4 linked regions of the Elephas maximus indicus genome follow. The protein of the gene in region 4 interacts with the protein of the main gene of each other region in a pairwise test. Links are inferred from orthologs where the notes say so. Each region holds a gene or a part of one and is shown on either strand. Other genes may lie near its edges.

Region 1 (7,218 bases), on a different chromosome or scaffold from region 4:
TGTGAGCTCAGACCACCCCGGGAGAAGTCCCAACCCCAGCCGCCCGCTCGCCTGCCCTTGGCGGCCCGGGCTGCTGGAGCGGACTTCCCTGCCCCCACTGCGGTCACCGGACCCTGGCTCTATGCAGCCCTGGGCCAGAACAGGGGTGCCGTATACGCAGCACCATGTGGCAGGCCCAGCCTGGTGACACATGACCCTTTGTCCTTTCTGCCAGATCTATCCTTCTGTGGGTGGGCTGCCAGTTTTGCAGACGAGAACACAAAATCTCAGAGAGGCTGAGCCACTTCCCTAAGGCCACACAATATGGTAACAGAGCCAGGACTTGAACCCAGTTGGCCTGTTCCTAACACCTGTGTTGCCCAAACTCCCTCCCGCTTGCCTGGAAGGTACTGACCCCCGCCTTCCCCACCTAACGCCTGAAAGTCACCTCGAGTCTGCCCCCGCCCCCTATAATAAAACCAGCCGCCTATGTAGGGCCCACTCCTGGCTCTGATGCCTCAGGCAAGCAACAACACCACCACGTGCCTCAGTTTCCTCATCTGTAAACTGGGGAAGCTCACAACCAACTTCATCCTGGGGCAGAGCCTATAGCCAGTACCTGCCCTTCAAGCTACGAGTCCCCAAAATGCTGGGACCCATTGTCTGAAATTCACCATCCAGGCTCCCCCACTCAGCTCTCTTTGAACTTGCAAACCTAGTTCTTTGATGCATTCTGTGAATGCCAGTTTCTCCAGAACATTCTGTCTCTCATATTCCATTTATCTGTACCTGGACCCCCGCCCCATCCCCTATTACTCATCTGGCAAACTCCTACTCATCCTTCAAGACACCTCCTCCTGGAACCCCTGCCAGGTGCCCCCAGTTGAGTCAGGTGCCTCCTTAGCTCCCATAGCACCCTGGGCATCCCGTCATAGCCCTGGGCACCTGGGTTTCTGTGTCCATCTCCCTTGCCTGACGGTGTGGGCAGGGCTGCATCTGTCTTGTTCATCAATGTCCTGGTGCCCAGCCTGGGGCCTGGTACACAGCAGGTGGTTCATAAGTGTTTGCCGAATACATGAGGGAAAGGATGTCTGTAAACATCAGAACTGAGAGGGAACCCCCAGCCACTCGGTCCTGCCTGCCCACTTTACAGATGAACAAACTGAGGCTGAGGGAGGAAAAGGCCTTAGCCCCCAGGTCTTTCTGCCCATCTTGATGGCTGTGCGACCCTGGCAGGGCTCTGCTTCTCTCTGGGCCTCGACCTTCCCATCTGCGCATCCCGAGGTTGGGTGTGTTGGCTCAGGAGGGGAGCTGGCTGCAGCCTGTTTACCAACTTCAGGAAGGGCCTGGGCTCCCAAATGTCTCACCCCTGCAAGCCCAGCAGGAAAAGGGCCAGGGGAGGGGACAGCTGCACCCTCCCTTCCAGCCTCCACACCCCTCCACCAGCCACCAGCCCTGCCCACACCTGGGCCGGCCCAGCTTCGTGGCCTCCCCTTCCTCCTGCTGACCCATTGTTCTGCCAGAAACCCCTCCATCGAAGCAGCTGGGCAGAGCAATGACCGCCGTCCCTGGGGAGCAGGCCACGGACAAAAATAAATGGCGGCTTCCTTCCTGCCTTTGCGTTCACCAGGCTGAGGCCGGCAGGCCAGGAGGCTGCCCAGGCTGTGCCACCTGGCCCTTCCCTGACAGGGACCGTCCTCATAAGTGCTGAGGGGCTACCTCGTGCAGGCCTAGACGCAGTGACCCTGGCCCCTGCCCCCAGATGCCAGGATACCCCACATTGTCATGAGCAAAAAGAGCCCCTCAGATTTCCAAAGCAGTCCCCTAGGAGGCCTCGTCATCCCTGCTGGAAGGAGGAGGTGCCAGAAACTTGTAAAAACAGAAGTGTTGTTGTTTGTTGCTGTCAAGTTGATTCTGACTCATAGTGACCCCATGGGACAAAGTAGGGTTTTCTTGGCGGTAATCTTCACGGGAGCAGATCACTAGGCATTTCTCCTGCGGAGCTGCTGAGTGGATTCAAACCACCAACCTTTCAGTTAGCAGCTGAGTGCGTAACCATTGCACCACCAGGGCTCCTTAAAATAGAACTAAACAGGATAGTTTTAGAGAGAGATAAGAGCTGTGGAGACAGGCAGAGGAAAAGGAATTGGGGGGCAGGGATGGGGGTGACAGCCAGTGGCAGACAGGTGACCTTAGCTGCGGTGGTCAGGGAGGGCCTCTCTGAGGAGGAGCCCCTAGAGCTGGGATTGGAATGATAAGGTTGGGGGAAGGGTGCTCTAGGTGGAAGGAACAGCCCGTGCAAAGACCCTGAGGCAGGACTGTTGCCTGGTGAGTTGGAGAACAGTGAGGAGACCCATGGGGCTGGAGTAAGTGAGGAGGATAGATGAGAAGGGGAGCGCAGGGAGGGGGCAGGGCAGGTTGCGCAGGGCCCTGTGGGCTGTGAGGAGGACTTGGGTTTTTATGGGAGGGGAGCGCCTGCTATTCCCCCAAATTAGTCGACTCCAGTCCTGCCCCAAGTCATCAAAGACGGGGAGAGGGTTAGGATGGTTCTCACCTGTCCACTCTACCTGCCAGAGACCCGGCGCCCACCACAGTGGCCAGAGCTCCCCCTCTCCCATCCCACGAGTCCACCCACCTTCCCTGGGACAGGAGGTCCTGCACCCAGCAAACGGCCACAGACACTTCTTCCCACCCACCCCGACAAGTCCAGCCCACAACCTCCCACGAAACAGACCAACCTGCAAGAACCTCAAACCCACCACCTGGAATCCCACTCACCACGGTCCAAGCCCCCCGCCCTTGGTGGTGCAAACAGTGAACGTGCTTGGCCGCTCATCAAAAGGTTGGAGGTTCCGGTCTACCCACAGGCACCTCAGAAGAAAGGCCTGGCAATGTAGTTCCAAAAAACCAGCCATCAAAACCCTATGGACCTGGCAAAACTGGATCTATCTGTAGAAAAATGAAACAGACCCATACCTCACATCATACACAGAAACTAACAAAAAATAGATCTAAGACCTAAATATAAAACTATAAAGATCGTGGAGAAAAAAATAGGGACAACACTAGGGGCCCTAATATATGGCATAAATAGAATACCAAACATAACTAAAAATGCACACACAGCAGAAGATGAACTAGATAAATGGGACCTCAGAAAAATCAAACCCTTACACACAGCAAAAGACTTCTCCAAAAGAATAAAAAGAGAACCTACAGATTGGGGGGAAAAATTTTGGCTATGACATATCGGACAAGGGTCTAATCTCTAAAATTTATAGAAAACTTCAACACCTTAACAAGAAAAAGGCAAACAATCCAATTAAAAAATGGGCAAAGGACATGAACAGACACTTTGCCAAAGAAGACGTTCAGGCAGCTAACAGGCACATGAGGAAATGCTCGTGATCATTAGCCTTTAGAGAAATTCAAATCAAAACTATAGCAAGATACCATCTCACCCCGATATTACTGGCACAAATAAAAAAAAAAAAAACAGAAAATAACGAATGCTGGTGAGGTTGTAGGGAGACTGGAACTCTTGGACACTGCTGGCTGGAATGCAAAATGGTACAACCACTATGGAAAACGGTATGTCGCTCCTTTCAAAAAGCTAGAACTAGAAATACCATATAATCCAGTGACCCCACTCCTAGGTATACACCCTAAGGAAATAAGAGCTGTTGATAAAGAAAATGTTCTACATTCTACCTTGGTGAGTAGCGTCTGGGGTCTTAAACGCCTGTGAGCGGCCATCTAGGATACTCTTCTGGTCTCATCCCTTCGGGAGCAAGGAAGAATGAAGAAAACTAAAGACACAAGGGAAAGATTAGTCCAAAGGACTAATGGACCACATCTACCACAGCCTCCACCAGACTGAGTCCAGCACAACTAGATGGTGCCCGGCCACCACCACTGACTGCTCTGACAGGGATCACAATAGAGGGTCCCAGACAGAGCTGGAGAAAAAGGTAGAACAAAATTCTAACTCACATAAAAAGACCAGGCTTCTTGGAGAAACCCTGGGAGTGTGGCCCCTGGACACCCTTTAACTAATACTGAAGTCACTCCTGAGGCTTACCCTTCAGCCAAAGATTGGACAGACCCATAAAACAAAACGAGACTAAAGGGGCACACCAGCCCAGGGCAAGGACGAGACAGCAGGAGGAGACAGGAAAGCTGGTAATAGGGAGCCCAAGGTTGAGAAGGGAGAGTGTTGACATGTTGTGGGGTTGTTAACCAATGTCACAAAACAATATGTGTACTAACCGTTTAATGAGAAACCAGTTTGTTCTGTAAACCTTCATCTAAAGTACAATAGAAAAAGGGAAAAAAAGTCAATCACTGAAAAAAAGACATAAGAGTTGTGACAAGAATAGACCTACGTGCACACCCGTGTTCACTGCAGCACTATTCACAATAGCAAAAATGTGAAAACAACCTAACTGCCCATCAACAGATGAATGGATAAACAAATTGTGGTACATACACACAATGAAATATGATGCAACCAGAAAGTATAATGACAAATACTTGAAACATCTTACAACATGGATGGATTTGAAGGACATTATGCTGAGTGAAATAAGTCAATCACAAAAGGACAAATATTGTATGAGACCACCATTATAAAGGAACAACAAAAGGTTTACACCCAAAAACCAAACCCACTGCCATCGAGTCAATTCCGACTCACAGTGACCCTGTAGGATGGAGTAGAACTGCCCCGCAGGGTTTCCAAGGAGTGCCTGGTGGATTCGAACTGCCAACCTTCGGTTTAGCAGCCATATCTCTTAACCACTGTGTCACTGGGGCTCCAGAAATACATGTTAATATTGGGGTAAGTCAGCACAACATGGCCAAGGCAAAGAGAGGACACAGAGGACCGCAGAACTAAAGGGCAGCCCCAGTAACTACTATAACACGACAATCCTGCAACGATAGTATTAGTGTTTGTTAACAGGACTGGGCAGTGTTTCATTCTGTTGTGCATAGGGGTTGCTATGAGTTGGAACCGACTCGACAGCACTAACAACAATTTATGAGTGGATATATAGGTAGATAGATATGCCATGAGGTGGGTGGGGGCGGTTAAGGGAACACACCCACCGGCAGATACAGGTGTGGTGCTGGCTATTTCTAAATATGTGACTGTAGGTATTCCTTATATATTAACAGAGAAAACAGAGCTCACAAGGGGCAGAGTCGGGAAACTCCATAGACATAACCAAACACCTTGCAGGATGAAGTTCCTAGGCTCAAAGACAAAGGACCATAGACTCAGGGGACACCTATGTCAGCTGGCACAACGCAGCTCATAAACACAATGTTCGGAGTAGTGTCTAAGGTCTTAAAAGCTTGCGAACGGCCGTCTGAGATACAACGATTGGTCTCTTCCAGTCCGGAGCAAAGGAGAGTGAAAAAAAACAAAGACTCAAGTGAGTCCAAAGGACTAATGGACAGCGTGAAACAGCCTACACGACCCCGAGACCAGCAGAACTAGATGGTGCCCAGCTACCACTACCAACAGCTCTGAGTGTGATCACAGCAGAAGGTCCCAGACAGAGTGGGAGAAAAATGTAGAACAAAAAATCAAATTCACAAAAAAGACCAGACTTACTGGTCTGACAGAGATTGGAGGAACACAGAGACTATGGCCTTCAGACTCCCTTCTGGCCTGGAACTGAAGCCATTCCCGGAGACCACCTGTCAGCCAAACCATAGACGGGCCCGTAAAATAAATAATAACACCCAAGAGGAAGGTGATCCTTGGAACAAGCAATTATACGAGATTGAAAGGGCAATATTTGCCCAAAAGCAAAGGTGAGAAGGCAGAAAGGGGTAGAAAATCAGGAGGACAGGAAAGGAGGAGACCAGGGCAAAGCAGGGAGAAGGCTTACACACTGTGGGGAAAGAAACCAAGGCCATGAAACAATTTATGTACAAACTATGGAATGAGAACCTAATCTGCTCTGTAAACCTTCACCTCATGCAGAATAAAAAAAAAAGAAAAAGAAAACTCCTTGGAGCGCAGGCCTGACTCACAGAGGGTCACTGTGAGTCAGGGGTTTTACCCACCTGGAGAAGGAGGAAGCAAAAAGGCAAAGTCACTAAGTGGGTGGATGAACTGCGAGTCAGGTCGGCCTTGCCTGGAGCCTTGGAGGGCCCATCAGGTCGTGACCCCAGACAAGCCCCACACCCTGGGGACAGCTTTCCCAGCTGAGCATGGGGGTGCCCACTCCCCAGCTCTGTGAACTCTCGCCCTACCCCACATATTCTTTCCCAAAACCCTGGGCGCCAGTCCACGCCTCAAACTCAGCACCCTCTGCCAACCCCACATCATCTCCTGGACTCTGAACTTCACTGTCGTCCCCACCGTGGACAGTCTGGCTCCCAAATGCCCTGCAAACACCACAGACACTGATCTTCAACCTCAGGATTGCTCTGGACACACAGCCCTGCACGACCTGCCCCGCCCCCTGCCTGCCTCCCTTCTCTCTTCCCTTGGCTCGCTCCACATGGGCCTCCTCGCTGTTCCTTCAACTCACCGGGCACGTCCTGCCCCAGGGCCTTTGCACCGGCCGTTCCTTCTGCTGGGAGAGGGGAGCGTGAAGGCCCTATGCTCAGAGGCCTTCCCCGACACTGTAACAAATTACTCCTAGTTCTCTCAACCTTGGTGTCAGCCGCTGTGGTGTCGGCCCCCAACTCATGGTGACCCCACGTATATATAACAGAATGGAACACTTCCTGGTACTGCACCATCCCGGTGATTGGTTGCGGATTGAGCTGTTGTGATCCATAGGGTTGTCATTGACTGATTTTTTAAAAATCAATTGCCAGGCCTTTCTTCCTAGTCTTACTCGGGAAACTCCGCTGAAGCCTGTTCATCACAGCAACACGCAAGCCTCCACTGGCAAACAGGTGATGGCTGTGCATTGAGGTGCACTGGTCGGGACTTGAACCCTGGTCTCATGCATGGAACAAGGGTTCTACCACTGGACCACCAGTGCCTCTGTCTGTATCCAGCCCCTGGCAACCACTAACCTACTTTCTGTGTCTATGAATTTGCCTGTTCTGGACATTTCATATAAATGGGATCATATATGTCCTTTTGCGTCTGGCTTCTTTCACGTAGCGTCTTTTCAAGGTTCACCCACGCTGTGGCAGGAACCATGGTTCCTTTGTATGACTTAATAATATTTCATACCTTTTCTTGCAAGAGGGGTCCCTGGGTGGTGC
Region 2 (7,484 bases), on a different chromosome or scaffold from region 4:
AGATAAATCTATTGGTCTCACTCATCTGGAGCAAAAAGAGAATGAAGGAAACCAAAGACGCAAAGAAGAAACTAGTCTGTGGGGCTAACAGCCCACATGAAACCACAGCCCTCTTTTAACCTGAAACCAGAATAACCAGATGGTGCCTGGCCACCACTACTGGCCATTCTGACCAGGGACACAATAGAAGGTCCCAGATAGAATGGAGAAAAATGTAGAACAAAATTCAAATTCCTAAAAAAGGTCAGACCTACTGGACCGATAGAGATTGGAGGAACCCCTGAGACTATTGTCCTAAGATAACCTTTGAACTTGGCACTGAAGCTACTCCTGGAGGTCTCCTTTTAGCCGAATAATAGATTGGCTTAATAAAACAAACCATATCGCCCCCGAGTAATGTGCTCCCTTAAACAATCAACTATATGAGACCCAATGGTCAGCATTTACCGAAAAGCAAAGATGAGAAGGCAAGGAGGGTGTTTCTGGTTGAGTTGTGTCCCCCCAAAGTATCTGTCAACTTGACTAGGCCATGATTCTCAGTATTATGTAATGCCCAGCATTCTGTCATATGCTGTGATTTTCCTGTGTGTTGTAAGTGTTGTAAATCGTATCTCTGTGATGTTAATGAGATGGGATTGCCGGCAATTGTGTTAATGAGGCACGACTCAGTCTACAAGATTGGATTGTGTCTTGATCCAATCTCTTGAGATATAAAAGAGAGAAGCGAGCAGAGAGACATGGGGACCCCATACCACCAACAAAATATAGCCAGGAGCTTGCATCCTTTGGACATGAGGTCCCTGCACTGAGAAGCTCCTAGTCCAGGGGAAGATCGATGACAAGGACCTTCCCCTAGAGCTGACAGAGAGAAAGCCTTCAACTGAAGCTGGTGCCCTAAATTCAGACTTTTAGCTTACTAGATTGTGAGAGAATAAACTTCTGTTTGCTAAAGCCATCCACTTGTGGTATTTCTGTTATAGCAGCACTAGATGACTAAGACAGGAAGGGAAGCTAGATCAACAAACAACAAGCAGAATGCTGACACATTGTGAAAACTGTAATCAGTGTCACTAATGTGTATAAAAATTGTGAAAACAGGAACCTAATTTGCTGTGTAAACTTTTACCTAAAACACGATAAAATTAAAAAAAAAAAAAAATGCTGACGAGGGAGGCAGGCCTCAGGAGGAGGAAGATCCAGTCTAGGATCTGGGCAGAGGTGAGGAGCAAAAGTGGGGCTTGGCCCCCAAATCTGTCCTCTTCTGCTTGCTGCCAAGAGCCCCTATACCCCCAGCACTGGCCCCTCTCCCTTGCCAAGCCTCAGCCCCTTGAGGTACTCACCCCCAGCTGTTGGCCTTGGGGTCTGTGGGGAGGTGCCGAAGTCTCAAGAACTCCAGTAGCTCCTTGGGCACATCCTGGTTCAGGTACAGGACGCCCTGGAGAGGAGGACAGAGGAAGGCTGGTACTTTGCACAACCTAGTGCAAAATGAAAATGCAGGCCCTTTGGTAAAAAAATGGCTTAAGAGTTTCAAGTTAAGAGCCTAGCATCACACCAAGCTCAGAGCCCTTCTGAACAGTGGGGCCTGTGTGACTACACTAGTTCTATGCCCCTGAAGCCCTCTGGCTGTAATCCCCCATCACTGTGGCTGAGGGGACCCCTAGCCTCCTTCCCCATCACAGGGAGCAGAGGAACTCACCCCTGCAGGGTAAGGGAACTAACTTTGATTGCAATGGGATCACCTGTCTCCTGGCTACCTCCTTCAGTCCTTTCAACAAGCCAGCAAAGTTTGTGTGGACCCATTGTTCAGAAAAACTGAGGCTTAGGGTAGTGAATAACGTGCCCAAGATAAGGGCCCCTCTCCTGCTCTCCAGGCCAGCAGCTTAGGGCACCCAGAGTGGCCCACAGTACCTGGATGTAGGCCTCCAAGCCCTGTCGGCGCTGTTCCAGGCCCCTGGTCCTCCAGTTGGGCAGACGTTTCAATGGGAAGTCGGGCACTTTGTACAGTTTCTTGATCTGCCAGAGGTTACCGCGGTGCTGTCACAGCTCCCTGGCTGAGCCCTCAAGCCCACTCCACCTTAGCCAAGAGCCCTCTCCACTCCTTCCCGCCCGCCTTTCCAGCTCTACCCTGGCATGGACCCGGGTAATGGCGGTGGGGGCTAGGTGGGCCCCAAGTCGCACAGACGCCCGAGGGCCGGCCGGCTGCGCAGGGGCACGGTCATTGCGGACTGGACCTGCCTTCCTACGCCCTCCTGACGATGGCCCCGCAGTCTGCGGGCGGTCTGTGCCCAGGACCTGCTCCCTCATGGACTGGGGCCATAAAGGGAGTGCGCTGGGCCAGAGCCCGTCCTCCCGCTTCCCAGGGGCTGGTCAGGGCCGGCGGGGGTGGGAGTCGGTAAGTCGTCGGCGCCGCCTCACCCGCTTGTGGAGCGCGTGGAACTCGCTGTAGCGCCTCGGCACGGTGTGTCTGCGCCCGCGGCACAGCACTTCCACTCGGAACACCTGGCGGGCGGGCGGCGGGGCGCGCGCGTGAGGTCCAGACGGGGGACCAGCAGGACCAGTGCCCAGCGGCGCGCCCGTTCTCCTGCGCTCACAAGGCACAAAGCGGCGGTGGAGCGCCGCTGCTCCCCGAGGACCCTCTCGCGTCCCCAACACCTGGGAGGAGGGGCTGGCGGACCCACCCCTCTGCTCCAGACAGCTCCTGAGGTGCCCGGACCACGGTCCGCGGGGCAGCCAAACCCGAGCGTCCCCGATACCCTCAACACGCTGTTCCCCGACGGCCTGGTCCACCGCGCTCGGACGCCCCAGCCCGGGCGCAGGGTCCCCAGGGCGCTCCGCGTGGGGAAATCCTGCGGCGGGTCCCCGCGTCCCTCCCATCCCGGTGCTTCGCTCACCATGTGTCCTTTCTCCGGGCTCTGTCCGGACTCCTCGGCCTCGGGCCCCACAGACGGGATGTGAACTTCCAGCATCGGCAACCGGGCCGGCTCCTCTCCCGACGCTGGCAGCCCGAACTTGCCCGGCGCAGACTAGACCCCGGCGCGGAGCCCCGCCCCCGGCCATGGCCCCGCCCCAGTCCCCCAGGCCCCGCCCCGGGTCCGCAGCCCCGACCCCGGCCCTCAGGCCCCGCCCCCGGCCCGCAGCCCAGCCCCCGGGCCCTGGCCCTGTTGCGCCCCACGCTGACCCCGCCCCCGGCGTTCCCCGAGCCGCCGGGGCCTGCGCCCAGAAGATTAGAAGGGCGTGGAGTGGCGGGAGTCGAGGGTCGCTCTCTGAGCCCAGTGGGGTTCCTCCTGCGGAGAGTCATCTGTTTGTCAAACATTTACTGACCGTCCGCTGATTGCGAGAAACGCGGGCGAGTCAAAATTTCACCTACCCTTTGAGTGCCTACTAAGGACCTGGGCCTGTGGGCGCCGCCACACGTGGGCGGTGGAGGGCCCAGCCCTCGGTGCCTGCCCTGGGGGCCAACCAAGGACGTTCCTTGAGTTCCTCAGACACTTCCTCGGGGTCGCACCAACCCCCTACCCCCTTCTCTCCACTTCCAGGGCCCAACCCGGAGGGGGAGTCACCGCCTGGAGACCCCAGCTAAGGCCATGCCTGGGAATGCTAGGACCCAATCCGGCTTTGATTACACCCCCAGCACCCACAGGCCTGCCCGTCCGTTGGTCCATCCCTCCCTCGCTCCCTCACCACGAACCTGCTCCAGGTCCAGTGTGCCGGGAAGAGGCAGTTTAGGGACCCAGGCTCTGGTCGGGGGGTAAGACAAACTGGATTTCTGGAACTGTGTTAGACATGTGTTCATCTGACTGATAGGCAAAATATGCCTCCCTCAAGAGACTGAAAATTGGGATCATCCATGTTAAGCCTTTAGTAAATATTGAGTACATGACAGCTGGGTTGTGGCTGGTCTTGGAGGGGCAGGCGGCTGGTGATGGAGATGGCTACCAGGGACTGTGGGAGGTGGCCCCAAGCTGCTGTTGCCCACCCTTCTGGGCAGGGTCTTTCTGGACGTGTGGCAGTGATTTTAATCACTCTCTGTGCTGCCATAAAGGGCCTCTGCTCCCACCTCTTGGCCACCTCCACCCCCCAATCAGAGGGAGCTGCTGTCCTCCGGCAGCACCATGACAGTGTCTTTGACTCCACTGGCTTCTCCCCCACAAAGGCCCTGGGGGCAGGAGAGGGCCACGCCCTGCCTTCCAAGAGCTGACACCTAGTTGGGGACTCTGGGGTGGGTGGGAAAGAGGAAGCAAATTGCCTGTCTTGGTGGCTAGGAGGAGGGGGAACCACTGAATCACCCCCCTTCCCCGCTGAGCTGAAGCAGAAAATCTTCATTCTTGCTGTGCTCCCAAGAGAGGCTGGGAGAGTGACCCCACAAGGTGGGAAGCAGGTCTCTCACCAGTACTATCTCCTACACTTTCTTCTCCCAAATCCCATCTCATATGGGCCCCCAAATCAGGAAGCTGAAACTTCTAGGAACCTGATGTGGTTCCTTGGAAGGGAAATGACCCACTACGAAGAGAAGTGCTGGCATTTCATTTCCTCCCCGGCACTACAGGGCCCATCATTCAGGGACCCAGCTCACCTGGGCCCACAGGGCCTCCACCACATTCTACTGTCCCGGGTGGCCTCCTCAGACTTCTAGATCACACAACCTATTGACAGTCTGCCCCTCTGTCTTAACCCCTATCACCCAGAAAACTGCCATGTCCTCTAATGGGTCTCCCTGTTTTTCCTTGTCCCTCTTCCCCCATTGCACTTAGAATAAACCCCAATCCCTGCCAGACTACAAAGTTCTAAATGACCCAGCCCAGCCTCCACCTCCCATCTCATCCCATCCCCTCTCCCCCTTGTATGCCAGGCTCCAGCCACAGTGACCGTCTTCTAGTTCTTCAAACCAAAGACAAGCTTTTTCCTGCCTCAGGGCCTTTGAACGTGCTGTTTCCCCAACTCTTCCCTGACCCTTGACCTGGTGGGTTTATCCTCCAAGTCTCAGCCCAATACCTCCTCCAAGAGGCCTTCCTTCCTGACCACCCTATCATATCAGTCTATGCACTTACTACAAACCTTATTGTGTTTAGTATGTGTCTCCCTTAGTTTCCCCCACATTCCCCCAGACTCTAAGCTCCATCAGGCCAGGGACCTGGTCTGTGTGTCAGTGGTTGCTTCTGATGGGCTCAATATGTAGAAGGAACTCAATGGCCATGGAGGGGAGGGGGAGCCTGGGGAGGCAGCAGGAAGGGAGCAGGGGTTGCTAAAAGGTTGGAGGAAAGCCTGCAGGGGTATAACAACAGGAATCTTCCAGGGGCCTTCAGGTTAGACACCTGTCTCTTGACTCCTCCCACCCCCTCTAGGGAGCCGGAGCACTCTGGGCCGGCTGTGAAGACCTGAAGCCCACAGCTTGCAGAGGACCAAGACAACAAGAGAGGAAGGCTGGGTGTGAAAACGTCCCTCCCGACACGCCCCAGCTCCTGTGGGCGGCCCTGCTTGCTGGTGGAGCCCCCAAACCGGCGCCCAGGTTGGCTTAGCCAGCTCCGCACGTCTTGGCTCAAGCCCTCGCCCTCCGCCGCCGGTACATACAAAGCCCCCTTTCAGTGGCAGGGCTTCTGTTGGGCGGCGGAGGCTGCTCAGGAGGTTTGGTTAACCCCGTTAAGAAAACAAACAGCCCTGGGCCACGGGCGGGCCGGCGGGCGCCGCTGCGCACAGAGGCGTGATTCTTCTCTCCCAGGCTGGCTGGGGGACGACAGGGGCCCGCCACCTGGGGCTCCACCTGTGTAACCCTTGGGCAGCCCCTCGAGCCTCAGTGTCCAGATCTGTAGAATGGAGAGTTGTCGCGTGGATTACACGAAGCCACGCTGGCAGAGTTCAGCACGGAGCCTAGAACACAGTTAAGTCAATATTAGCTATTATTGTTTCAGTGAATTATACAAACCGGCTTTTTGTAAATCAAGATTGATGGGGTGGCCTATTGGCAGTTACATATGGGCCACCCTAATATAGTTAGTGATTTCTGCCTTGAAACAAATTCTACCACTCTTTCAGTATCCTGAAATTGCAAGGCTAGCTAAAAACTATTTCTCAGCTACTAACTGGGATCTGGGTTTTCCCTGATTTTCTCAATACTGGCAACCAGTGGAAAAAGAAAAAAAAAAAAGCAAAGAAATAAATTGGAAGCAGCGGTTGATGCAAATCAACTATCCTGTTCATCAAAACAGCCTTAGTTCTTACTGATTGCCTTTTTTAATAAGTACATTTTATAAATTTGAAATAAACTTGAAATAATAAGTTTACAGTAAACCAAAAAATCCTGTTGCTGCCGAGTCCATTCGGTCTCACAGCGACCCTATAGTATAAGTACACTCACAGTCCCCCCGCCCCATCCACGGTTTCCCTTTCCCAGGCTTCAGTTACAGCAGTCAACCGTGGTCTGGGCTCAGCTGTACTGAACATATACAGACTTTTTTGTCATCATTATTCCCTAAGCAACACAGTATAACAACTATTTACATAGCATTTACATTGTATTGGGTATTATAAGTAATCTAGAGATGATTTAAAGTATAGGGAAGATGTGTAGGTTATATGCAAATGCTACGCCATTTTATACAAGCGACTTGACCATCCTCGAATTTTGGTATCTCTAGGGGTCCTGGAACCAATTCCCCGAGGATACAAAGGGATGATTGTATACTAGTATTTTGTTTTCATTGGATTTCAGTGTAAGATGTTGTCTAAAAAAACAGTTCTACTAAAACCTTTTAAATTCATAAAATAATCTAAACCCTTCATTTTATACATGAGGAAACTGAGATGTGAAGAAGGGAAGTGGGTTCTTGAAGGCACCTCAGCCAAGCGTGTCCTGCCTGAGCTCTGAGAGCAAAGCTTGGCTCAGGGCAGGCTGGCGACCTGCTTCCCAGGGGGAAGGCAGGCTCTAGACCCAGGGTTCCAGCCAACAGTGTCACTCCTAGGGCCCTAGGGGCCACCTGCCCCATGCCCAGATATGAGAGGCAGTTCGCCTGCTTCAGATAACACAACCCAGGGCTGGCTAACGGGAGCAGGCAGAGGTCACCCCAGCCACCTTGCATCCAAGGCAGCACAACTTTCCGGGGAGATTTTTCTGGTAATAACAATGTGCCCAGCACTAGGTTCAAGGAACACTCAGGTACCGTCAGGTAACAGGGGTTTATTATGAAGAGAGCTGTGGGACCAAGAACTAGGACAACAGGAAAGCCAGGCCAGAGGCCAGGAGGGGCCACAGCTCCAGGCCTTGAGCTCAGGACTGGAGGTGCCCCCTACTCACAGTCTAATCCTGGTTGCTGTTTGTGGCTTCTCTCTCGGTAAGCAGAGATTTTGGTCTCTGTCATTAATGGTCTCCAGCTACTCACTGAAGCTGCTTCTGTCTCTCAGCTACTGCTCCTACTATCCAACTGGGCAACCCGTCATGTATGTCTGAGGAGAGAGTACCTCACAGGTGTCAGAGAAACTCAAATGCCTAC
Region 3 (7,688 bases), on a different chromosome or scaffold from region 4:
CTGTGGCCCTCCCTCAAGCTCCATCTGCACAGCAGGCAGCTAGAGAAGGTCGGCCAGCACTGGGTCTTCTTGCTCACAAAGTGCTCAGCAAACACAGGGACAGACTCCCCTCCCCACATTTGCAAACACCTACAAGCACTGAAGTCCGAGCTAGACCCCCAAAGCCTGGAATGCCAGTCTCAAAACAAGGTGAACCCTACCTTGAGCAGTTCAGAGCTATCTAATGTCAGAGTGGCGGCAACAGGAATGCTTTTAACCAGAATCTTACTAAATTCCTATGACCAGCTTTTCAGGATGAGGCCCCAACTCAATTGCCTAACTGCCTACACGAATGGGAACCAATAACATGGATGACTCAATGTACCTCACAGTGCTGGCCCAGCCTCTTGGACTCTTCACCACAGTATATGATGATTTTGCTCTAACCAACTGACCTAGCCATGTCTTACTCAAGCTAACAAGATCTCTTCACATTTCCTTGGTGGGGCAGCATGTAGCCTCCAAGAACATAGACTGTGAGCCAAAACCAATGCTGACTAACTAGAAATTAATCCGTCCTGCCTAGCCCCAGACAGGAGCCCTGGTGGCACAATAGTTAAAAGCCTAGCTGCTAACCAAATGGTCAGCAGTTCAAATCTACCAGCCACTCCTTAGAAACCCTATAGGGATAGTTCTACTCTGTCCTATACGGTCACCATGAATTGGAACCAACTTGACAGCACGTTACGACAACAGGCCCACACAAGTCATGGGCTGCCTAGGTGTGCCAATCCAAGTGTCCGGGAGCCACAGTGCACCACCTCAGAACACACAAAGAGGAGAAGCCTGAGAACAGACCCCTCGGGGCCCATCCCCCACCTGTATTAAACACCCACGCTGGGTTTAATATGAGGGAGGCCCAAAGGACACCACGGCAAATAAGCAGACAGGGTTCCCGCTCCAAGCTTCCAGCCCTGTGAGAAGAGGGCACCCCTCTGTGAACGACTCAGTGAAAACAATTCGGCAACTTAATGGTCTGAATTTATCTTCTGAAAGCACAAAGCTGTTTGGCAAGATCTCAGATCAGAGAACAAAAAGTTTCAAATCATCTACTTCTGATGCCCGTGTAAGGCTGGATAATGCATTGGCTTTTCAGTACAGCTCCCAGATCTGAGATTAAGACTTTTGCCAAGATCTCCTCCATAAATAAGGCAAACAGCTTGCATTTACCCAGCACTGCACTCCCAAACAGGCTGAGAACGCACCCAATGACTCCTTCGGTATAAATATTTAAACAGCAAAATCCAAGCATCTCTACAGCAGCCTTTCTTTAGCAGGCCAGTAAGGCAGAAGTATGGCCCACAGGCATCCACCCAGCACATGATGAGTTACCCTGGAGGTTAACCAGGCACCAAGAGCAGTGGGGGAGCTCCCCAAACATGTTAGCCACAAGGTCTTGGATCTCCTCCTCAGTAACAAGGGGAGGGTGGGGGTGTCAGCACAGACTTGGCTAGTCTGAAAAGCCAACAGAGAATCACTGTACACCCAGGAAGAAGACAGCGGTTCCTGGCCCTCCCTAACAGGCACACGAGCCAAACAGAACAGCCAAAGCGGGCTGCTCAACAACAGGCCATGTTTACCCTGAGGTTATGCAACAATTCTTCTGCACACTTGCCGGCACGCCAGGCTCATGTTCTCAAGTTCAGGAAGCTTGAGAAGCTTAGACACAACATGCTTGCTTGGGAAAATGCAGAAAAACTTGGTTATTTTTCAATTCCCAACTTTAAGATTTCAGCCATTCTTTTATCATAAGCCTGTGTATATACGTGCTTTTTTAAAAATCCCAAACACTTCAGCTGAAGCTTGAAAATTCTAGAGCCCTGGTTGCGCAATGGTTAAGCATTTGGCTGCTTACCAAAAGGTCAGCAGTTCAAATCCACCAGCCCCTCCGTGGAAACCCTACGGGGCAGTCCTACTCTGTCCTATAGGGCTGCCATGAGTCAAAATTGACTCCACAGCAATGGGTTTGGTTTCTGAGCATCCCAACAGCCAAATGCCAGGCTCAGAAACACAACTTTCTTCCTACTTTATCAGCCTGACTTTGTCCACAGTAACCTAACTCTTCACCTCTAGGCACCTTGCTTTGGCCTCACTTGATGCTCAACCTGTCCTCAGCGGTCACCCCGAGCCCCTACGCTGGGCTAAGATGCAAACAAGAGTGCTCTCAAAGCCTCCCTCCAGTCTCAGGGGAACTAAGGTCACAGCCCAGAGAGGACCCACCGAGGCCCATCCTGCAAAAGGCAGGAGTATAAAGCAACAAGAAACCAGAGTACCTAGGAACACAGCCACAGGATGTCCCACCTCCAACCGCATTCCAGTTGTTCTGACATTTTCCCCACGTGTGTGAGACGCAGCCGTGAGCCCCATGGGGGCTGCGGAGAAGGAGCCGTGGCCTTTACTTGTAGGCGACAGGAGGGCGTGGGGACGAGCACAGCCCGACCCTACAAGGCCGCAAGGTGGCCGGGGGGACAGCGCCTCGGGAGCTCGCCGACGCCCGAGACTCCCACGGGGCGCTGCCCCTCTCGGCCGCAGCTGTCCAGGCCCTGCCCACGCCACCCGCGGCACAGCTACTTCCGGCCGGCGACTGGGACTCGGGGCGCGGGGGCCGAGAGCGGGGCCGGGCGGGGGTCAGGGACCGGGACCGAGGGCGGGACTGCGCGGGGGTCAGGGCCGGGGACCGAGACTGGGGCCGGGCGGGGGTTAGGGCCGGAACACGGGCAGCCCCCGCCTCCTCGGCCACCAGGCCCTACAAGCGCCCCCAGCTCCCGCGCCCGGCCAGCGGAGCCCCCTTTTCCGGCCTCTTGGACGCCAAGCTCGGTCTCGAGCTGTCGGGGGGTGGGGGGTCTTGACACGGGGCGAACCCAGTGAACCGGGCGCGGACAGGAGTCCCCCCGCGAGGCCCCGGACCCCGGCGCCCCGCCCCGGCGCCCTCGGGGCCGGGGGCTCGCCCTCGGGGGCCGAACGCCGGGTTGGGGTCGGCTCCCGGGGCGGGGGAGGGGCGCGGGGGGCGGCAGGGGGGCGCCGCGGCCTCACCGAGATAGATGTCTCCGAAGGAGCCGCTGCCGATCTTCCGGCCCAGCCGGTACCTGTTCCCGACTCTCAGCTCCATGACTGCGGCCCGGCTCGCTCCTGTCTTCCCGGCCGCTTCCTGGGTCTGAGCTCCGGTGAGGCGGCGCCCCTGCTGCCGCTACTGCGGGTCCGGCTCCCGGCTCCGCCCCCCTCACGGCCCCGCTTTCACCATCGCTTTCCGGCCTCCCCGCCGCTCCCAGCGCCTCAATACGGGACGGATGGGACAGTCCGAGTGCCGCCGCCCCTGCTCCGGCCCCTGCCGGCCCCTGTGGTCCTCTCCCCGCCGCGGATGGACTCGGATCTTCCGGGCCTAAATCCCCCTTCGGCTGCCTAAGAGAGCCGCCGCCATGGCGCTGTGACGTCACTTCCCCTGGCAACACGGAGGGGCGGGGCCGCGCCGCTCGAGGGGCGGGGTCGGAGCGAGGCGGGAGGGGGCTTTGGGTATGGACTTTATTTAAAATTTTTATTGTGCTTTAAGTGAAAGTCTACAAATCAAGTCAGTCTCTCACACAAAAACTTATATACACCTTGCTACTTACTCCCAATTGCTCTCCTCCTAATGAGACAGTCCGCTCCCTCCCTCCACTCTCTCTTTTCGTGTCCATTTCTCCACCTTCTAACCCCCTCTACCCTCTCATCTCCCCTCTGGGCAGGAGATGCCAACATAGTCTCAAGTGTCCACCTGATCCAAGAAGCTCACTCCTCACCAGCATCCCTCTCCAACCCAATGTCCAGTCCAGTCCATGTCTGAAGAGTTGGCTTCAGGGATGGTTCCTGTCCTGGGCCAACAGAAGGGCTGGGGGCCATGACCACCGGGGTCCTTCTAGCCTCAGTCAGACCATTAAGTCTGGTCTTATGAGAATCTGGGGTCTGCATCCCACTGCTCTCCTGCTCCCTCAGGGGTTCTGTGTTGTGTTCCCTGTCAGGACAGTCATTGGTTGTAGCCGGGCACCATCTAGCTCTTCTGGTCTCAGGTTGATTGTACTCTCTGGTTTCTGTGGTCCTTTCTGTCTCTTGGCCTCATAATTACCTTGTGTCCTTGGTGTTCTTCATTCTTCTTTGCTCCAGGTGGGTTGAGACCAATTGATGCATCTTAGATGGGCGCTTGCTAACGTTGAAGACCCCAGACACCTCTCTCCAAGGTGGGATGCAGAATGTTTTCTTAATAGGTTTTATTATGCCATTTGACTTAGATGTCCCCTGAAACCATGGTCCCCAAACTCTGCCCCTGCTACGCTGGCCTTCAAAGCATTCAGTTTATTCAGGAAACTTCTTTCCTTTTGGTTTAGTCCAGTTGTGCTGACCTCACCTGTATTGTGTGTTGTCTTTCCTGTCACCTAAAGTAGTTCTTATCTACTATCTAACTAGTGAATACTCCTCTCCCACCCAGGGTATGGACTTTTGATCAGGGTGAGGCTGGGGGTACAGGCCTTGGGATAGGGTGGAATGGGGGGGACGCTTAGGGCATCTGATCAGGGTGAGGTGGGGGCTTTGGCCATGGGGAAAGGGTGGGGCAGGAAGCTTGGGCACCTGGGCGGGCCGGGGCAGGGGGCTTTGGGCATCCGGACAGGGCGGGGTGGGGGGCGTCTGGGCGGGGCGAGCGCACTGAAGCCTCCTCCTGGGGCTCCTTCCTCGCCCCGCCCCCAGACCCATCCTGCGCACCGGCTCCACGTGCTCGCGCTGGGGCGTTGTGTGCCCCCGGCAGGTCTAGGAAGCCTGGGGATCCTACGGACAGACCTGGGCGGGGCCCTAACGCTGTCCTTTTGCGGGATGCAGAGATGGCACTAGTTTTTTTTTTTTTAGAGAGGGCCAGAGTCTGTCCCTCCAGCCCTGGACCTGCGCCACCGGGGTCGGCAGGTCCGCTGAGGCACCCAGGCGGGATGCAGGTGTGCGCTGGCCTTGTGGTCCTGCCAGGGACATCTACTGGTCCGTCCCTCCAGGAGATGCCAGTTTCTGGATTTAGGGGGCTTGGGAATTGAGTGCCTGTAGCCTTCTAACACCTCCTACACCCCTGGAACTCAGATATAAAGCAAAGGGAGGAGTAGGCCACCCAGGACCCAGGTCAGGGGGCCCTACTGGGTGAAGGCTGGGTTGATGCAAGCAGGCCTCCAAAGGGCGAGCTGACACCACCTCTCCAGTGCCATTGCCTGGGCCCCAAGTGAGCATCTTTACCTCATCTGCCTGCATCTGGATATTTTTAATTGCAAAATAGTGCAGGATGCTCAGGCACCAAGTTGGAACTCTTGACTCGGACCATTGGGAACAGCCTACCAGAGTGGCCCCCAAGCCCAAGCAAGCTTCTGTAGACACCTCCAGGGGCAGATGACCCAGTAAGCAAGGTAAGCACAGGCTTACTTATGCTTGCTTACTAATGTGTAGTGAACAATTTCACACGGGTGATTGGGTTATCTGTCTCTGTCAGGGATTATAAGTTTGAAAAGAGGCTTTGTAGGAAGGTGCTGTGGGGTTGGGAGAGAGACAGATGCCAGCCACACCTAGAAGCACAAAGTTTGATGTGGTGAGAAAAACGTGCTTACCTTTCCTATTGAATAACCCGCCCCTCCCCGCCAACCCCCAGCTAAAAAAGAACCATGAAATGGGTTGATGAAACGCACTCCTAAACATCCAGCAGGCATCCCGCTGGGCACAGGGTTCACAGAGGCTAAAGAGAGGGCATGGAGGGTGCGCTGGCCCCTGGCACACAGCAGAGCTGCCTTTTCCCACTTGGAAGTCTCCCGTCTCTGCCTTCAGCCTCAGGCATGCAGCCCTCACCAAAAATAGTTGGAAGTCCAGTAGTCCAAACAGCCTCGGACTGGTACAACAACAGATATATAGACCAATGGAGTAGAACAGAGAATCCAGACATAAATCCATCCACATATGAACACCTGATATTTGACAAAGGCCCAAAGTCAGTTAAATGGGGAAAACACAGTTTCTTTAATAAATGGTGCTGGTATAACTGGATATCCATCTGCAAAAAAAAAAAAAAAAAACAAGACCCATACCTCACACCATGCACAAAAACTAACTCAAAATGGATCAAAGACCTAAATATAAAGTCTAAAATGATAAAGACATGGTGTAAACAGTATACAAGACATTACTAACAATGTGCAAACACCAGAAGAGAAACTAGATAACTGGGAGCTCCTAAAAATTAAACACCTATGCTCATCCAAACACTTCACCAAAAGAGTCAAAAGACCTGACACTGCCCTTTTGCAGGATGAGGAGAGAGCCGGAGTCTGTCTCTCCAGCCCTGGACCCACGCCACCGGGCGTCTGCAGGTCCTCGGAGGCACCATCCCTACTGGCCCCCGGAGGGGTAGTATCCAGGTACCAGGCCTGGCCACCTGGCAGTCCAGCCTGGGAAAAAGTTTTTAGCTATGACATTTCCTATCAGCATCTGATCTCTAAAGTCTGCATGATACTGCAAAAACTCAACAACAAAAAGACAAATAACCGAATTAAAAAATGGACAAAGGATATGAACAGACAGTTCACCAAAGAGGACATTCAGGCAGCTAACAGATGCATGAGGAAATGCTCACGATCATTAGCCATTAAAACCCACTGCCACCGAGTTGATTTCGACTCATAGCGACCCTATGGGACGGAGTAGAACTGCCCTGTAGAGTTTCTAAGGAGCACCTGGCGGATTTGAACTGCCGACCTTTTGGTTAGCAGCTGTAGCACTTAACCACTACACTACCAGGGTTTCTGAAATGCAAATCGAAACTGCAATGAGATACCATCTCACTCCAACAAGGCTGGCATTAATCCAAAAAACACAGAATAATAAACGCTGGAGAGGTTGTGGAGAGACTGGAACACTTATACACTGCTGGTGGGAACGTAAAATGGTACAACCACTTTGGAAATCGATTTGGTGCTTCCTTAAAAAGCTAGAAATAGAACTACCATATGATCCAGCAATTCCACTCCTTGAAATATATCCTAGAGAAATAAGAGCATTTACATGAACAGATATATGCACACGCATGTTCATTGTAGCACTGTTTACAATAGCAAAAAAATGGAAGCAACCAAGGTGACGATCAATGAATGAATGGATAAATAAATTATGGTATATTCACACAACGGAGTACTATGCATCAATAAAGAACAATGATGAATCCATGAAACATTTCATAACATGGAGGAATCTGGAAGGCATTATGCTGAGTGAAATTAGTTGCAAAAAGGCAAATATTGTATAAGACCACTATTATAAGAACTCGAGAAATAGTAGAAACACAGAATATTCTTTGGTGGTTATGAGTGTGCAGGGGGAGGGACGGGGTATTCACTAATTAGTAGACAAGAACTATTTTAGGTGAAGGGAAAGACAACATACAATACAGGAGAGGTCAGCACAACTGGACTAAACAACAAAAAAAGAAGTTTCTTGAATAAACCGAATGCTTCGAAGGCCAGCGTAAGAGGAGTGGGAGTCTGGGGACCTTGGTTTCAGTACATCTAGGTCAATAAAACCAAAAAAAAAAAACCCAGTGCCGTCGAGTCAATTCCTACTCATAGCGACTCTAGGTCGATAGGCATAGTAAAATCTATTAAGAA
Region 4 (7,767 bases):
CCTTGGAGAGAAAGCGTCTATAAAATGCGGGTAGTAGTAACACCTACGTGGAAGAAGTACAACCAGAATGCTCCTTAGAAGCAAGTATGGTAAGGATACGTCTCACATACTTTGGGCATGTTATCAGGAGGGGTCAGTCCCTGGAGGAAGACATCATGCTTGGTAAAGTAGAGGGTCAGTGAAAAAGAGGAAGACCCTCAACGAGATGGATCAACACAGTGGCTGCAACAATGGGTTCAAGCATAGCAATGACTGTGAGGATGGCGCGGGACCAGGCACTGTTTCGCTCTGCTGTGCATAGGGGTTGCTATGAGTCGGAACCGACTTGACAGCACCTAACAACAACAATAATACCTACAGTTGTGCAGTTAAGGCTACAGACTTTGGAGCCAGATCCCTAACATCAAATCAAGCTCTGCTGCCATGTACTAGCGGTGTGACCCTGGACAAGTTAATCTTTCTGTGCCCTAGTTTCCTTGTCTGTAAAGTGGGATCTCAGTGAAGGTTCAAAAAGCATTGACATCAGTGTCTGGCACGCTGGAGTCCTCTGTGACAAGTGAGCGCTACCATGCCTTCTGCTCACTTAGCCTCCTGGGGAGGAGCGGGGTAAGAGCGAAATCAGTCTCCTCCGCTTCCTTTGTAGCATTGTTCTCAGCTCTGCTAAAGTGACCTATTCTGATATCTTGAAAAGAGTGGTGTCAGTACCACTAATGTAAGCAAGATGGCTTTAAATGGTACCTGAATGAATGTTGCTTAGTTTAATAGTTACATGTATTTATTTGAACATATTTTAGAAAAAAATAAATAGAAAGTCAGACCCATGATTTCATATTACTGGTTAGGTCAAGCTAAGAAAAAAAGCAGCTGACTGACAGTGGAGTTAAAGGAAAACATTCAGTAAACAGTAAATATAGGGTCGCTATGAGTCGGAATTGACTTGACAGCAACAGGTTTTGGTTAAGTGGATGTAATGAGGATCCTTCTATGACTGCAGTTAGGCCCGGCCAGGAGGCAGCCCAGAGAGGTCTAGGCTTAGGAGATGGGGCTAGGCCGAGTGGGCCCAGGGGTGAGTGCGGGGTGGGAACACAAGTCTATCCTAGCCCCTCAGTGCACCTGGCCCCAGGGTGGCCCCAGCCCACTGGACTGTAACTGTTTTTCCACATCTTATATTCCCAGGAAGTATCTTGGTGTTCTCTGACCCTATTCTTCTCCAACTAGGTCAGGCCGCCCGCCCCCTTGCCCCTGCCCCTTCCAGATCGATCCCTGTTCAGAATCTTCCAATCAGAGGTGTCTGTCTCTGGGCTGAAACCAGATAATCATCATGGCACCAGGAGTACCCTGCCCCAGGGTAGGAGCAAAGACAACAGACAACAGGATAGTTGGACTCCACAAAGCACTTCCCACTGTACCAAGCACTCTCTCTCTCTCTCACACACACACACAGGATTATACATATGATCACAAAATCTCACATACATGATCACACACACACATCTCACAGGCTCCTCAAACCCAGAGTCCCAGGGTGGAAAGCGACAGCCAAGCATGCCAAGGAGAAGACAGAAGGTGCTTGCTTCTTGACCCAGGAGGGCCAGGGTCCTGGGAGAGCGGCCAGACTGATGGACACATGGGAGAAGACTGTCTCTCCTCACTCTGCCCCAAAGGGCAGTGCAGGCCCCAGGCAGAGGCTGGAGAGATGGCTGCAGGCCTCAAGGACCCTGTGAGGCCTCCCCAGGGGCCTCTAGGCCAGCACCCAGCTCCTGGATGCAGGCTGGTGTGGGGGCCTTCCCCTCCTCCAGTCCCCCGGGAATTGGGAGTTGGGGGGGGCTGGGGGGGCGGTGAGGAGATGGGCTAGGCTCCCCTTCCCAGGCCAGCTGCTACAGAACCTTCCGGCTCCAACATTCCATCCCTTCTTAAAGGGGAAGTGGCAGCTTCCAAACTCTGCCTGTCCACAGCCTTGCAGCTGGGTGGAGGGGAAGACCCCGCCAGCGAGGGGAAAATGGAGAACACCAAGAGGCTCTTCCTGGCTCTCAGGCTCTGAGGCCCTTTCCAAGGCCTCCCCCTTGGCCACCACCTGGAGGAAAAGGCCTCAATACTGAGGGGAGCAAGCACCTGGGATATTTTGGACTCCTCCTCAGGGGCCAGGCGTTCGCCTCGCTCCCTTGACAACATCCTAGACACACCACAAGGGAGGGGGCGACAGCTAAACAAACACAAGGTCTGCAGGGCCCCAGCACCCGGCCACCTCCCTCCCCCCAGTCCGCAGTCCCCCCGGCGTAGCCCCGAGATGCGGGGTGCTCCAAATATGGCCCTGAGTCGTGCAGCTGAAAAGATGGAGAAGCGCTAGGCTGGGTGCCAGACACCCCAAGTCTGCGCTGAAGAGGTGGCTCCCCTGGCGGGGGAGGGCCGGACCTGGGGGGAGGGGTTGTGTGTCGTCTACGTGGGCCATCGAGTTGGTGAGGGGCTGGCGGGCCAGGAGCCGAATGCTTTTGGGGAGTTGGACGTTCCCCTAAGCTGGGTGCCCCAAGGGGCCAAGGTCCCCCACCAGAGGCGAGCGGGCGGTCCCTCGCGGGGCTGGAACCCCAGCTCCCCCAGACAGCCGGGGGGGCTCGAGCGGGCCGGGTGGCCCCCAAAGCAGGCGGCGGGGTCCGCGGTGCGGGCGGGGGCCCCTCACCCGAAATCGTCGTCCATCGACTTGAAGAAGAACTTGTAGCTGGGTCGCTGCAGCACGCCCTTGAAGTCGGCCAGGGTGACGCGCTCGGCGGGCAGCGGCAGCTTCACCAGGTACGGCGTCTCCTGCCCATCCAGGTGGTAGATGATCTTGGTCTCGCCCATGGCTCCGGCCTCCCGGGCGCCGGGCCGGGCCTCGGGGCAGTCGGCGCGGCTCAGCCCAGCTCCTTGTTCTGCGGCCTCCCCCGGGTCCCAGCGCCGCCCGCCAAGCTTCCGCTCCGCGCTCCGGCCCGCCTGGCGGCGCGACTCTTCCGGTGCCGCGGCCTCGGGTCGGGCCGCGCCCCGCCCCGCGGGCCGCCGAGCGCTGGATGCGCGCAAAGCCGGGCCCTGGCGCGCACGGCTCCGGCCCCCGCTCGGCGGGGAGCAGGCGCGGTGCCTGGGGCCCAGACCTGGAGGGGAGCCCTGACCAGGACGGCCGCACTCCTGGGCCCTCCGAGGCCCTGGCCCTGGACCGAAGACCTCCTCTGCAGGCGGGGAGGAAGGGAAGCAGGGTCTCTTCGGTCCCCAGATTTGGGGAGAGTGGGAAGTGGTTCTAAGCACGGATCGCTGGAAGCAAGGGACCTCGGTATGGCACTTTAGGGTGAGAAGTACAGCTGCGGTCATAAAAAAAAAAAAAAGAGCCCACCAAACAGGACTCCTTGAGGGCAGGGCAGGGTCGAGCTCTGAATCCGCCTTACAGCCCCAGAGCCCAGCCAGGGTCAGGTGCATAGCAATGGTTCACTAAATGGGCTGAAAGGCAAGTGAAGGTATGCGTGCCTGTCTGGGACAGGGAGTCTCAAACTAGAACTTGGTATGTTGTTCCCTGCCGCAGAGTCAGTTCTGACTCATGGCAACCCCATGTGTGTCACAGTAGATCTGTGCTCCATAGGGTTTTCAAGGCTGTGACCTTTTGGAAGCAGATCACCAGACCTGTCTTCCCAGGTGCCTCTGGGTGAGTTCAAACCGGCAACCATTTGGCTAGCAGTCCAGTGCTTAATCGTTTGCACCACCCAAGGACTCCTAGAACTAGGTATGATGGTGCCCTGACAGATTTCCTCACTCCTTAGTTTTTAATTAATTTAATAAATACTGAGTACCTACTATGTGCTAGGCATGGTGCCATGCCTGAGATATAGAAGTAGAAAGACAGGTAAGGCTGCCCTCAAAACCTTCACTCATCTAGGAGGCACATAGGCTTGTAAATAGATAAACTTCAAAAAACAAAAAAACAGACTGACTGCCGTTGAATCGATTCCAACTCATAGCAACCCTGAAGGACAGAGAAGAACTGCCCCATAGAGTTTTCAAGGAGCGCCTGCTGGATTCGAACTGCTGGCCTTTTGGTTAGCAGCTGTAGCCTAACCACTGCACCACCAGGGTTTCCAAATAAGCCAGAGAGTGATAAACTCTACTAAGAAGATAAAATGGAGTAATGTGATAGAGACAGAGGAAAGATGAGTTTGTCAAGGAAGACATCTTCCATTTGAACTAAGACCTAACTGATGAGGAGGAACCAGATACGAGAAGATTTAAGGGAAGGGTATTCCAGGCAGAGGGCAGAGTGAGTATAAAGACTCAAAGCAGGAATGTTGTCAGGTGCTGTCGAGTGCGTTCCGACTCATAGCGACCCTATATATGACAGAATGAAACACTGCCCCGTCCTCACAATCGTTGTTACGCTTGAGCCCACTGTTGCAGGTCTGTGCCAATCTATCTCACTGAGAGTCTTCCTCTCTTGATGACCCTCTCCTTTACCAAGCATGATGTCCTCCAGGGATTGGTCACTTCTGATAACATATCCAAAGTAAGCAACTATCTTGCCATCCTCACTTCTAAGGAGCATTCTGATTGTACTTCCAAATTTGAAGAATAGGAGGACAGCTATCGTGACTAGATGGACAGTGGTACGATGAGGCTGAAAAGGTAGGAAAGGGCCAGATCACATAGGGCCTTTTAGGCCACAGTAACAAGCGTGGGGAAATCCTGGTGGTGTAGTGGTTAAGTGCTATGGTGTCTAACCAAAAGGTCTGAAGTTTGAATCCACCAGGCACTCCTTGGAAACTCTAGGGGCAGTTCTACTCTGTCCTATAGGATTGCTGTAAGTTGGAATCAGCTGTGGGCAATGCCTTTGTTTTTTTTTCTTGTAACAAGTGCGGACTCTTCTCACTCCATTTGTGTACTGTTGCCCCTCTGCATTTGAAGAGTATCTCTTTTAGACACCTCTTCTGAGAGAAGCAAACCAAACCTATTGCCATCTAGTCAATCCAACTCATGGCGACTCATGTGTTACCAAGTAAAACTGTTCCACAGGGCTTTCTTGGCTGTAATCATTCTTCTGCAGGGCTGCTGGGTAAGCAACTGCCAACCTGTTGGTTAGTACACAAGCACGAACTGTTTGCACCGCCCAGGGACTTTGTTCTAAGAAACCTTCCCACATTCCCCAATGCCTCCCAAATATACTTAGCAGGATGTTCAAGGCTCTCCATAATCTCACTTCTGCTTTTATAACCTTTTGTCTCACTATATCCTGGCCCTGGTAGCTCAGTGGTTAACAGCTCAGCTGCTAACCAAAAGGTTGGCAGTTCAAATCCACCAGCGGCTCCTTGGGAACCCTATGGGGCAGTTCTACTCTGTCCTCTGTGGATGCTATGAGCCCGAATCGACTTGACAGCAATTTTTTAATATCCTGGCCAAATTTTTAACTCCAAATCAACCTTCTTGCTAGACTCTGTGCACACCTGGTATTTCCAGTTTGTACCTTTCCCTTTACTTCTTTTAGTTTAATTTTAAATATTTATCAAGGTACTGTGTGTGTATACGCAAATAGTATGCGGGAAGCTTTTAACAACAATTAAAAGACTCCCTGTCTCATTCCTCTTCCCACCCCTGGAACAAACCAAAAAAGCCAAACCCATTGCCGTTGAGTCGATTCCAACTCACAGCGACCCTACAGGACAGAGTAGAACTGCCCCATAGGGTTTCCAAGGAGCAGCTGGTGGATTTGAACTGCTGACCTTTTGGTTAGCAGTTAACCACTGAACCACCAGGGCTCCGACCCCCCAGAATAGTCACTATTAAAGTGATCTCCAGAATAGTCACTATTTTTTAAGCTCACTAGTTCTTGATTTATGTATTCTCTACGTTGCCTATGGATTTCCAAATTATTTCTTTCTTTCTTCCACCTCCCCCATCCTCTTAATATAGTGAAATCACACTTTGTTGGTTCTAGTACTTGTTGTTAGGTGCCGTTGAATTGGTCCTAACTCATAGCGACCCTAGGTACAACAGAATGAAACATTGCCTGGTCCTGCGCCACCCTCAAGATCGTTATGCTTGAGCCCATTGTTGCAGCCACTGTGTCAATCCATCTCGTTGAGGGTCTTCCTCTTTTTCACTGGCCCTCTACTTGACCAAGCATGACGTCCTTCTCCAGGGGCTGGTCTCTCCTGACAATATGTCTAAAGAACCAGTACTTAGTAGTGACATTATATGGAGCCCTGGTGGTACAGTGGTTAAGCACTGGGCTGCTACCCAAAAGGCTGGCAGTTCACTCACCAGCCTCTCTGCAGGAGAAAAGATGTGGCAGTCTGCTTCCATAAAGATTTACAGCCTTGGAAATCCTATGGGGAAGTTCTACTCTGTCCTATAGCATTGCTATGAATTGGAATCCATTTGACGGCACACAACATCAGGGAGATTATTTTGGCTATGAATGAATAAATGTTCACTGCAAAGCCATGTGTGTTCAAGGATTGCTTCCTTCCCTTTATTACTTTTTGGTTTTCCTGGCATTAATCATTGCTTTTGTTATGGACTGAATTATGTTCCCCAAAAAGTGTATCAATTTGGCTGCGTCATGATTTCCAGCATTGTGTGGTTGTCCTCCATTTTGTGATTATACCTTTATGTCAAACAGGATTAGGGTGAGATTGTAACACCCTTACCCAGGCGTACAGGGAGTTCTCTTGGGTATGGCCTGCACCACCTTTTATCTTACAAGAGATAAAAAGGAAAGGGAAGCAAGCAGAGTTAGAACCTCATACCACCAAGAAAGCTGTGCCAGGAGCAGAGCGCGTCCTTTGGACCTGGGGTCTCCACACAGAGAAGCTCCTAGTCTGGGGGAAGATCAATAAGGCTGACAGAGAAAGCCTTCCCCTGGAGTTGACACCCTGAATTTGGGCTTTTAGCCTACTTCACTGTGAGAAAATAAACTTCTCTTTGTTAAAGCCATCCACCTGTGGTATTTCTGTTATGGCAGCACTAAATGACTAAGACAGCCTTGCTTTTTCATTTGCTTTTAAGAGCTGAGCTGCTAACCAAAAAGCCGGCAGTTCAAATACACCAGCTGCTCCTTGGAAACCCTACGTGACAGCTCTATTCTGTCCTCTAGGGTCGCTATGAGTCTGAATCGACTCCACAACAATGCTTTGTCTTTTTTTTTTTGTTTTTGCTTTTTATATACTTTAATAGTCTCCAGGTGGCACAAATAGTTTGTACTCAACTTCTAACCTAAAAGTTGGTGTTCTGAACCCATCCAGGGCTACTGCAGAAGATGGGCCTGGTGATCTATTTCTGATAACAGCCAAGAAAACCCTATGAAACAGTTCTACTCTGTACCACGTGGGGTCACCATGAGTCATAATCTGATGGTCACTAACAACCTATTGTTAATTCTTCCCACCAAAATTCAATAGCTTCTGGATACACATTTCATTCACTCATTCGCATCTATTAGGTAATCCCCCAGTTCCATTTTTTCTGGAGCCTTTCATTCACCTGCTGTGGTCTGCACTGGTAGCTGTCTCACCCAGCTGAATAGCTATCATCCTGAGATGTCTCTATTGCCCACAGAATTCCCTTACCTCTCCTCTGTGTTGGATTGATTTCCTCAATACTCCTTTGCTTTCGGAAGGCACATGGTGTAGTGGCCTCCTTTGAAAGGAAGCATGGGAAATTAAAAAAAAAATTTTTTTTTCTGAGTACTTGCATATCTGAAAACATGATTGAGTTGAAAATGTTTCCTTCAGAATTCTGAAGGCATCATTTCGTTGTCTTCTA

Evidence for each region.
Region 1: the proteins of DVL3 (region 4) and TNFAIP8L1 interact in binary tests that used the Homo sapiens proteins (3 or more experiments, as listed by UniProt). The two-hybrid records come from large-scale screens. The link is inferred for Elephas maximus indicus from reciprocal best matches to the Homo sapiens genes DVL3 and TNFAIP8L1.
Region 2: the proteins of DVL3 (region 4) and SNX22 interact in binary tests that used the Homo sapiens proteins (3 or more experiments, as listed by UniProt). The two-hybrid records come from large-scale screens. The link is inferred for Elephas maximus indicus from reciprocal best matches to the Homo sapiens genes DVL3 and SNX22.
Region 3: the proteins of DVL3 (region 4) and CSNK1D interact in binary tests that used the Homo sapiens proteins (3 or more experiments, as listed by UniProt). The two-hybrid records come from large-scale screens. The link is inferred for Elephas maximus indicus from reciprocal best matches to the Homo sapiens genes DVL3 and CSNK1D.

Annotation. Positions count from the first base shown.
Region 1 is NC_064821.1:7,642,102-7,649,319, reverse strand, and holds the start of TNFAIP8L1 (tumor necrosis factor alpha-induced protein 8-like protein 1), read right to left. Parts: upstream 3,017-7,218; 5' UTR 2,895-3,016; coding exon 2,758-2,894; intron 1-2,757. UniProt on the Homo sapiens protein: Acts as a negative regulator of mTOR activity.
Region 2 is NC_064831.1:54,377,495-54,384,978, reverse strand, and holds the start of SNX22 (sorting nexin-22), read right to left. Parts: upstream 3,011-7,484; 5' UTR 2,967-3,010; coding exon 2,892-2,966; intron 2,582-2,891; coding exon of another isoform or gene 2,500-2,581; coding exon 2,416-2,499; intron 2,014-2,415; coding exon 1,909-2,013; intron 1,436-1,908; coding exon 1,341-1,435; intron 1-1,340. UniProt on the Homo sapiens protein: May be involved in several stages of intracellular trafficking. Interacts with membranes containing phosphatidylinositol 3-phosphate (PtdIns(3P)).
Region 3 is NC_064837.1:72,069,113-72,076,800, forward strand, and holds the start of CSNK1D (casein kinase I), read right to left. Parts: upstream 3,005-7,688; 5' UTR 2,407-3,004; coding exon 2,313-2,406; intron 1-2,312. UniProt on the Homo sapiens protein: Essential serine/threonine-protein kinase that regulates diverse cellular growth and survival processes including Wnt signaling, DNA repair and circadian rhythms. It can phosphorylate a large number of proteins.
Region 4 is NC_064819.1:30,911,077-30,918,843, forward strand, and holds the start of DVL3 (segment polarity protein dishevelled homolog DVL-3), read right to left. Parts: upstream 3,003-7,767; 5' UTR 2,836-3,002; coding exon 2,675-2,835; intron 1-2,674. UniProt on the Homo sapiens protein: Involved in the signal transduction pathway mediated by multiple Wnt genes.